Linked DNA regions of Cricetulus griseus. The protein of the gene in region 3 purifies or fractionates together with the protein of the main gene of each other region. This does not show direct contact. Links are inferred from orthologs where the notes say so. Each region holds a gene or a part of one and is shown on either strand. Other genes may lie near its edges. The genes, in order: Nup133, Nup37 and Nup85.

Region 1 (3,655 bases), on a different chromosome or scaffold from region 3:
GAGGAGGAGGAGGAGGTGGAGGAGGAAGAGGAGGAGGAGGAGGAGAAAGAGGAGGAAGGTAGTATGCATACAACACCAGCTGCTCATCTGATGCAACCTAGATGCTCTGGTCTTGCCTTGGATCATTTGGTTGCCAGCAAACAGGTGAAGACAGTACCCGAAGCCTCTGCATCTTAGTTCCTCAAACATACCTTTGCTAACAAGAGTCTTAGTGTAACATTCTAGAAGGATAGTTAACCTCATAGCACACATTCCTATTCTGAGAAGGCAAACTACCAGGTTTCCTACTAGTCTCCTGAATGAGTACCTGAAGGGCCAGGAGAGCTGCATCCTGCTAATTCTTTGTGCTTCTAATAGCTGTTCTAGGGGAAAGGTCTCTGGCAGGTAGGAGGAGGAAAAGGATACTGTTGAGAGCTCCACAGTATGGCCTAGAAAACTCAGGCTTGATCTGAATGTGGAAACATATACAACACTTACACTGATGAGCTGTGGTGCAGTCAACACAGGCATTGCACTAAGACTCAGCTGTCTCTCGGTCAGCAGCTGCTCTGGCAGCGTCTCCTGGTGCAGCAGGAAGCGCTCTTGCTCAGCCATTGCTGTTGATCAAGGACAGACAATGATGACATTTTCACTTCTGTTTTCATCAATCAAATCAGATTAAAAACCAACAACTCTAAAGGCAATTCATTGCTACCCCAGAGTCTCCACATTTATTCTTTACTGCTGACAACATATTTACTGTTTAATCCAATGTGTATACATGACCACAGCAGCAGAAAGCAGCTATGGAGAGAGAAATGTACTTCAGGAGGTCTGAGCCCAAGCTGCAGGCCCTACTTTAGAGCAGCTCAGTGAAAGAGCATGGCAGTATCATTCAGAAACCACAATATATCAGAAGAAAAACAAAACCTGTGTATATGGGCACCCAGTTATTAATGGATAAGAACACCCCATTGGTTCCAGGCTCCTGCTCTGATTCTCTGTCCTGATGTACTGGGCTGCTGGAGAAGCGGGGATGAACTGCTGTCTGTCCACAACAGCCACAATAGACAGAAGCACAGCATTTCTACTCACACAGCAACAGTGTTCCACAAACTGCCAGTGAGCAAAGGAAACCAAAATTCACAGTTGTTACTTCAGGAGGTGGAACCTCCAACCAAATACAAAATCTTCCTCCCCCATAATTTAAAATTTTCCATAGGAATTACTCATATAACCAAAATTTATTTAATTTTGAGACCTAGATCTGCCATCTTCTACCTCCTGAGTGCTAGGATTAAAGTCATGCACAACCACATCTAGCTCTTTCAATTTTTTTTCTTTTTTCTTTTGGAGACAGGTCTCACATAGCCCAGGCTGGCCTTCAGTTTATTATGTAGCCATGACTGGCCTTAAAACTCCAGTTCTGCTTTAGCCTACAAGGTGCAGTGATCACAGGTATATGCCACCATGCCTGGCTCCCCCACCCCCCTTCTATCAGAGGAAATCTGCAGGTATTAAGGCATTTAAATTCTGAGTACTTCAGTATCTTCAGTATGTATTTCTAAGAATACGGACATGCCTTTAATACCAAATTTGAGTCAGAGGCAGATGAAGCTCTTGAGTTTAAGGCCAGCCTGGTCTACAGAATGAGTTTCTGGACAGCCAGGGCTACACAGAAAAACCCTGTCTTGAAAAAACAAAACAAAACAAAACAAAAAACAGAATAAGGACATCTAATCAAAAAACAGCATTATTAAGCCTATGGAAGTTAAGAAGCTTATGGTAATATCATCTAATCTTAAATATGTTCATTTATAGCATTCAGGAGGCTGGTGAGGAAGGGCTATAAGTTCAAGGCCAGCCTGGGCTTCATAGTGAGACTCAATTTCAAGAAAGAAAAAAAAAAAAAAAAAAAAAGTTCAAGTTTTCCTAGTTGTTTCCAAAATATTCATCACAGTTGTTTGGTTGAAGGATGCCCAAAGATCCAATCAAAGGCCTCATGATCATGCTAATTTGGTCACCATATGCCTCAGCTCCTTTCTTCTAATAGTTTACCTTTTTGTCCTCACATTACTAACTATAAAGAGGCCAGGCTGACATACGTGTACAATGTCCTGTTTCCTTGTGGTGAGATACTTCACACTGGCAAAGGAATATATGACATACAAAACCATGTCACAGCACTTCAGAAGTGTGAAACATGGGCTTATCTTATCTGAGAGGTCTGTGTACTAACTCTCAACTCAATGGTTTAGCTTTTGTATGTGTGTAGAAGCCAGAGGTTGACATTGGATGTCTTTTTCAATTGTTCTCTGCCTTATTTTTTTTAGACAGGGTCTTTTAAAAAAACAAAACAAAAAAAAAACTGGAGCTCACTAATTTGGCTAGGCGGGTTGGAGAGCAAGCCCCAGGGATCCTCTATTTCTGACTCAGCAGAGTAAGAATGGTATTAATGATTCCGATTACATGTCTGAATGATAAAGTATGGATGCTGAGTAAGATAAGTAACAGCATTCCTACTAAACTGCAATGACTACATAGATGGTCATAGTGCAGCTGACTTGTGTGCCTTCTCATTCTGATTTCCTTTTACCTTCAATTTTCTCTTGCAGCGTGTCCTCTGAAAGGTCTGAAGCTAATGCAGCCAGTTTACTCAAGCCAAGAAGGGTTTTTTTCTTTGCGAAGTAACGAGTTTCCATATTTGCCAAACCGAGCAGCGTTGTATGAGCCTACAATAAACAAAACAAGAAAATCACAAGAGGCCCTTGAAGTAGCTCAGCAAATACCAAACTCATTTCTTCTCCAAGGGGTCTGAAAGAAGACATGCTAGTAAGCCTAACTACCTGGGATCAGTGCCAAAGCAATACACATGGAAATCTCAAGCAGACTGGAAAGGGAGACTGAGAAAATACCGCTCCATAACAACTGTGTATTCACTTAGCACCCTGTCACCAGCACAACTTTAATTTGCACTGTTTTTACCCATAATCTGAGTTTTGTGTTATGGGTTCCCATTTTGTACATGCACATATGTGTGTAAGCAGGCCAGAGGTGTTTAGTGTCTTCATCAGTTACTCTCTGATTTCTTTTATGAGGCAGTAGCTCTCACTGAACTTGAAGCTCGTAGACTAAGGCTGGCTGTCCAGTGAGCTCCAGGGATCTGCCTATCTCTGCCTTTCAAGTATGACATTATATGTGTGCGCTGCAGGTCTGGCTTTTCACACAGGTTCCTAGAAGCCTACTCATTTTACTATCTTCCTCGATCCCAGGATTTGAATTTTCATTAGAAGGGAAAAAAAGAAAAAAGAAAAAGATTAATGACTTTTATATAAAATGTTTGTAATTTTAAAAATTGTAATTGACCAAGTACAGTGACCTGCATTTGGAGTATTAGAAGTAAGACAATACCATTCCAATGATGTGAGAGAATAGGAGGTGTGCAGGTGAGATTTCTGTCAATTCGACACAAACCTAGACATACCTGGGAAGAAGAAATCAATATATATATATATATATATATATATATATATATATATATATTCACAAAGTGCAAGATACACATAAAACAGGAAAGGTTAAATAAGGCTAATTACCATATCTATGAGAACTTATTTGAGAGGCTATGAGATGGCTCATTAGATAAATATACTTGGCACCAAGCCTGACCACCCGA
Region 2 (3,655 bases), on a different chromosome or scaffold from region 3:
ATTTTAAATGATCTGCTTATTATTTAGGTCCCTATACAAATGGGTTAGTAAATACTTGGGACCCTATGTTTTATGACCACAAACCTTTCATATTCCTGACAAGGAAATTATGCAGGCAGTACATAAACACAATAGCATATAACTGTAACTATACCCTTTAAAATGTAAGTTATATAAAGACAACATATTTAAGAAGTAGCTAGTGGATTTACTTTCAATGTGAAGTACAACATATGTAGTAGCTATATAGATATATGTGCATTAATAAATGTGAATGGTTTTGAAAGACATCATCAAACATTGAAACTGCAAAGCGCATACAGTGAACTTTTGTTCAGAGCAATGTTAAAGCAAACCAAGCAAATGGCACTTCCCTGACTCCCTCATTTCATACTGTACTCCTCCGCTCATTTCTACCTACACCATTGTTCTCTATTTCAATTAGTTTTGATATTCTACAGCTTTGAGCATTGTTATGTTATACTTACCTATCCACTCTAGACTGGGAAAGGAGGCCATGGGGACACACATCATATTGAAAAGTATCCACTGAGAACTTTATATATATCCTTTAGGATTTGTCAAAACATTAAAGTTTCCCTCCTAGGCAGCACATGAGATTCACAGTTCATTAAATAAACACTAACTTAATTATCCTACTTTGATCTAGTGGTAAATATAGGCTTATAAATATGCAGAACCAAAAGAAGAGGGCAAAGAGGTACTCAGGAACCAGTAAGGGCAATGCCTGTTAATTGTATGAAAACTTAATTTAGTGGTTTTGGAATATTTGTGCCATGTCTACAATTTAAATGAAATACATCTCATTTATGATATTTCATGGGGCCTATACAGATTACAATTTCCTAATTTTAAAATGTTTATTAAAATAAAATGACAATTCACAAATGTGGCTGTAACACATACAACATACCTGCAGGTGTGGTCATCACTTACACTTGCAATTTCATGGCCTTCCTTGGGATGGAACACCAAGTCATTAATGAAATCTGAATGACCCTCCAAAACCTGGAGGAGAAAGAGATCAGTAAGGAAGCACGGCCACAATCCATACTATCTATCTCTATCTAATATTTTCACTTCATAATTTTCCCTCCCTCCCTCCCTCCCTCCCTCCCTCCCTCCCTCCCTCCCTCCCTCCCTCCTCCCTTCCTCTTTCCCTCCCTTTTTAAGGTTTCTTAAGAAAGGGTTTCTCTGTAGCTTTGGAAGTGGTTCTGGAACTAGCTCTGTAGACCAGGCTAGTCTCAAATTCACAGAGATCCACCTGCTTCTGCCTCCCAATTGCTAGGATTTAAGGCGTGCTCCACCACCCAGAGTACTTTTCTCTATAAATATATTTTTAAAAAGCTGCCATTTTAAAAGTATGATTTATATAACCACTTTCCTAGAAGGTTATCTTGGAAAGAAGTCAATCATTCAACACAGTCTTTCTTTTCTAGTATGTATTTCTTATAGAAACATACTATTTTTTTTTAACTAAATTGGTTCTCATAGCACCTCCATGCTCAGTTATTACATAAAGTTCAAATAAAAACTGAAGTTGTGAAAACATCTACTTAAAACTTTCCCACCTTTATTGAGTTCTCATTAAATTAATTATATATTTAAGGACATACACACTGTAAATGATTATAGCAACAAAGCCAATCAAGCCATCATAAGTTTTTATGTTCACTTACTTTACTTATGTGTATTGTAAGAACACCTAGGACCTAATCCCTTAGCAAACTTTAAGAAGAGTATTAACTTTTGTAATTATCAGTGCATATATCATGTTCTTACTCCCTTCACCATCACTCTGTAATCCTGCCTAGGCTATTCTGTACTTAATAATTGTCCCTTGAAGTTATATTTCATTTCATCCTTACCACTTCCATCTATAAACTCCCCTCTTACTTGCTGTTCCTAGCATCTGTAAGTGTTACATTTATTAACTAGCTTCTTCTAACAACCTAGTTACTAGGGTTTATAATAGTGTAAATGAACCCTAAATTGTGGACTTTAAAGAGATGGTGAATCATAATCGCCAGCTTTCCTGGATCTTGAGTTAACTAAGACACAGGCCATTGGACTGAAGGAAGACCTTCCCCCAGAGTGGCTGGCAGTAGATATAAGTGGTCCAGGAAGAACCATCATTGCCTGTCAGCCTGCCTTTACTGCTTACTGGTGTCCAGCCTGCTGCTGCTGCTGCTGCTATCCCTGTTCTTTACTGACATAAGAGTCCCCATATTATCTCACTGAGAATCTTTTAGGCCTTCAAGACTACTGGGACTGCTGAAGTGTAGAACTTCACTGAACAACAGCGTTTCCAGCCTCTTTACCACTGCTGGATGACCCTGCTCCTACTAGTAATGCCAGTCAATTTAATAAATCCACTTTTATAAAATATATTCATTATACTGCTTTTGTTCCTCTAGAGAATTTCTTACTAATCCAACAGCCATTAAGAAGTCATTTTAAATCATAAGTACAATTAAAAAAGCAAGGAAAATGAACAGACTTTTAACATTTCTACTTATTGTACTCGTCAATATACCTTATATTCATTTTTATCTTGAAGATCTGAAGTAAATAGTCTAATCTTCATATCAGCAGCTGAGGTACAAAATCTGAAGGAAAAAAAAGCAAACAAATCCATTTTTAGCTTTTGTAAATTGAAGTCCTTCCTCTATGCCACCTTTGCCTCTAAGTCATCAAACCTTATCAAAACTCATGATGCTTTTTGGGATTGGTGGTGGTAGGGGCAGGAGTTATTGCAGTATGCACTAGAAAGGTTACATCCATTAAAGAAAGGAGCAGATAAATGCAATGTTTTATTCTGGAACACACAAAATGTTAGTACGTTCTGGATTTGTGTCTTATTAAACACAGAATTTCATATTAAGCTGGCATGGAATACCTTGCATTCTCTACCTTTCTCTGAATTTCTGCTACTTTAGGGGTTTACAAGTCATCTTTTAAGAAGAGCAAAGATGATGAGCAATCTGCTCTCTGCTACTATGAAAGAAAAACAAGCAGGGAGCAAAGGAGCAGCAAGTCAGGAAGAGGGCAACCAAGCAAACAGCACATGCATTACCAACTAGGACTTTTTTTATGTGTAAACTAAAACTGGACAGTGAGAGATTCTAAGTCATACCTTAGCAATTTACAGAGCCCACTATGCAGTTGCAGTCACAAAGAAAATTCTATTTATTTCAGATACTCTAAGTAAAGCAAAAAATACAGCATATGACTATACTCATATACAATTATATATAAATCTGGGGTATCCAACTTCTTGGCTTCTTTCTGTCTTGAGGAAGACATTAAATATGTAAATATTAGTAAAAAGCTAATGAGTAAACAAGTCTGTGTATAACTTTTATGATATCTGCTGCCACAGACAAGCAAGAAGTCTTCACATAATAATCGTACTTACGAAGTACCTGCTTGCAGAGTCTTAAAGCCATCAAGCAGGTTCAAGTTTGTCACCATTCATAAAGAACATGGGCATATCTAGGTAACATAACATAATTTCCCATTTCTTATTATGAAAGAAAAAGGGCAACAGTAAACAAACAGGACAACTGACATTGTATTTTGAGAAACCATTGTGTCAATATTTGGTTTGATAGAAGGAGCTACAGTTCTCAGT
Region 3 (2,940 bases):
GTAAAAGAATGCAGAGACTCACCCAAGAATGTCAGTCGATCACTGAGCATCATGGCTGGCCCCAGGTTGTCAATGAGATCCAGATCAGAAAAGCAGCCTCTCTCACAGTAATCCCTGAGGAATCTGCAGGACCCAACCCAAAGGTTAGAGCAGCAGTACTAGGCCCTCCTCAAACTCCAACCTCCCAGCCAACTAGAAAACTGTACCCACCTGTCAGATACGAGTGTGGCAAAAGCAGCATCTTTGGCTCGGATGCTCCAAGAGAGGGCTGAGCCCAGACGATTATTGCGGACAGCCTTCATGGCCAAGATCTTACAGATGCTTCGAACTTTGCAGGAGAGAAGACAAAAGGCAAAGTCTTACATCTTATAATCCCTCCTGTGAAGAGCATCATTACAATCAAAAGTACTATGAACTCAATATACAGCTAAGTCAGAAGAACCAGAAACTTAATAGTATATTCTTTTGTTTTTTTTGCTTTTGAAGACAGGGTTTCCCTGTGTAGCCTTGGCTGTCCTGAGACTCACTCCGTAGCCCAAGCTAGCCTCAAACTAACAGAGATCCACCTGCCCCTGCCTCCTCCATGCTGGGACTTAAGGTGTACACCACCACCGCCCAGCTCATAGTTTATTCTTGCTGTCTTCTCTCTACCCAGTACCACAGACGACCCACCTACTAGCCTGGCTTTCTGAGTGTTTGTGCTTAGCAAAAAGTCTTGGTTCCCCCCACAAAACAATCCCACCATTATCTGTCTAGAGACCACAAAATCTACCTTCCTCCTTTCGGGTCTTGAACCCCATGAGCTCACGATATGGTTTCAGGGTTCACTTGCTTCCCAGCCAGCAGCAGTAGGAGGATGACGACAAAGCAACGGACACCTGTCCCAGTTGCACTCGCTGTGCTCCTGCCGGGCTGCCCCGCTGCTCTAGGCTTCCCTGTAGCAACCACCCACCTAGGACTCTCAGCTCTGAACACAGATCTCATCGTATGTGAGAACAAGCTGGGTCTGCTAAAAGGAGAAGGGCTGATTGTTCTAGGTTTGAAAGGGCACTCCCAGCCCACCTGTCCCTCCCTGACGGTGGGCATGTACCACACACCAGCTCTCTAGTGTGGCAGGGAAAGGTTAGCTGTCACCATGTTGGGGTGCCGTGCTCAGCCCAGGGATGCACTGACAAACCAGAGGGCAAGCTGGGAGAAGCTCACAATCACCTTGTTCGGTCATCTGCCGTTGCTCACAAATCCTCAGCACCTTCAGGGCTTTCTGCTCTGTGTTGAGAGGAATCCGCTCAATGTGCAGCTCCAAGGAAACTCGGCCCAGCTCCGGGCAGTAGTCAAAGTAATCCACCCCCAGCTGCCACAGGCTAAGGTCCAAGGAAGGCAGATGTTGAAAGGCTAGAGGGACTGCCCTATGGCTCTGGGCATTGCCACCTGAGGTTCATTGTCCCAAACCCTCAAAACCAGCCAAGAGAGGACAGTGAAGCACCACTGGCTTCCACAAGGTCAGTACCATTTGTGGGACTTCCTACCTGTGATGAGCAAACAGTCCTGAGGCATATTCCAGCAGAAGGAATTCTCTCATATTAGAACCAAAACTGGGAAACAAAAAACAAAAAAACAACACAGAATTGCAAGACTGCCCCTCAGGCTCCTGTAACCTAACCTCCTCCTGTGCATTCCACTGGCCCTCCCTCAAAGGCCTGGTGACGTAAGAAAGAGGGACAGTGCATTTGGCCAACTTACTAGAGGTTGTGTGACTGGAGGAGTCTGCAGTGATCCAAAAGGTCGGTGAGGTGAGCTACAAACCACCAGTTGCTCAAGGCAATGCTACAAATGCAGACACAAAAGGGAAAAGGAAGTCAGGGAAAGGACTGAATCCCATGACCGAGATGAGCAAGAAACCCACACATCTTAACGCTTTAAAAAGAGCACAGGACTGGACAGAGGAATGGCAGAGGGAAAGGGCCCTATGCCAAGCATAACAACCAGACTTTAATTCCGGGGACCCACACAATGAAGAGAACCAACTCTCAAAAGTTGTCCCTGGACCTCGACTGGGAACATGGCATGGGTATTCATGTATGTGCATCAAGCTCATAATTTAAATAAATAAATAAATAAATAAATAAATAAATAAATAGAGCCTCCTGCTGGTGGCACACACCTTTAATCCCAATGCTTGGGAAGCAAAGCAAGCAGATCTCTCTCAGTTAGAGACCAGCCTGATCTACATAGCAAGTTCCAGGACAGCCAGGGCTCCACACAGAGAAACCCGGTCTCAAAAACAAACACAAAACAAAATGTGTGTCTGTAATCCTCATACCTACTAAGTAGAGACAGAAGGGTCAAGAGTTCAAGGTTAGCCTTAACTATGTATCAAGTTTAACTTCTACCTGAACTACATGAAATAGGCTCCCCTCAAAATTAACATGGTAGCAGAAGGTAAATCCTTCCCATTGCCCAGATCTACAGTAACAAATCCAGGCCAGTGCTTCAAAGCAAGGCTGTCTACTGCCACTCCCAACTTCCTCCCTTCCCAGCAGGCTGCAAATCAATTCTCAGTCCAATACAAACAGCCAGACAGATGCCCAAAGACTAAACACAGTGTGGCGGCACACGCCTTTGATCCCAGCACTTGGGAGGCAGAGGCAGGTGGATCTCTGAGTTCAAAGCCAGCCTGGTCTTCAAAGAGAATCCCAGGACAATCTCCAAAACCTACAGAGAAACCCTGCCTAGAGAAACAAAACAAAACAAAAACACCCAACAAGACTACACACAGAGTCTCTATGAAAGTTTTCCTGTTTGAGACTATGTAGTCCTGGCCTGGCCTGGGACTCTCAGGTTCACAGCCCTCAGGCTGAGTGCCTCCCTTACTGCAATGATGAGCCTTAACTGAAGGAAGGAGTGTTCAACATAAATCAAAGGTAAGCCTTCATGCCTGAA

What was found.
Region 1: the proteins of Nup85 (region 3) and Nup133 purify together in Homo sapiens (affinity purification with mass spectrometry; 5 studies listed by BioGRID and IntAct, with this or other methods). This does not show direct contact. The link is inferred for Cricetulus griseus from reciprocal best matches to the Homo sapiens genes NUP85 and NUP133.
Region 2: the proteins of Nup85 (region 3) and Nup37 purify together in Homo sapiens (affinity purification with western blotting; 4 studies listed by BioGRID and IntAct, with this or other methods). This does not show direct contact. The link is inferred for Cricetulus griseus from reciprocal best matches to the Homo sapiens genes NUP85 and NUP37.

Annotation. Positions count from the first base shown.
Region 1 is NC_048596.1:200,589,285-200,592,939, forward strand, and holds part of Nup133 (nuclear pore complex protein Nup133), read right to left. Parts: intron 2,712-3,655; coding exon 2,576-2,711; intron 597-2,575; coding exon 478-596; intron 1-477. UniProt on the Homo sapiens protein: Involved in poly(A)+ RNA transport. Involved in nephrogenesis.
Region 2 is NW_023276806.1:154,167,728-154,171,382, reverse strand, and holds part of Nup37 (nucleoporin Nup37), read right to left. Parts: intron 2,631-3,655; coding exon 2,558-2,630; intron 1,030-2,557; coding exon 935-1,029; intron 1-934. UniProt on the Homo sapiens protein: Component of the Nup107-160 subcomplex of the nuclear pore complex (NPC). The Nup107-160 subcomplex is required for the assembly of a functional NPC.
Region 3 is NC_048600.1:128,174,464-128,177,403, reverse strand, and holds part of Nup85 (nuclear pore complex protein Nup85), read right to left. Parts: intron 1,825-2,940; coding exon 1,741-1,824; intron 1,593-1,740; coding exon 1,527-1,592; intron 1,362-1,526; coding exon 1,210-1,361; intron 329-1,209; coding exon 211-328; intron 124-210; coding exon 23-123; intron 1-22. UniProt on the Homo sapiens protein: Essential component of the nuclear pore complex (NPC) that seems to be required for NPC assembly and maintenance. As part of the NPC Nup107-160 subcomplex plays a role in RNA export and in tethering NUP96/Nup98 and NUP153 to the nucleus.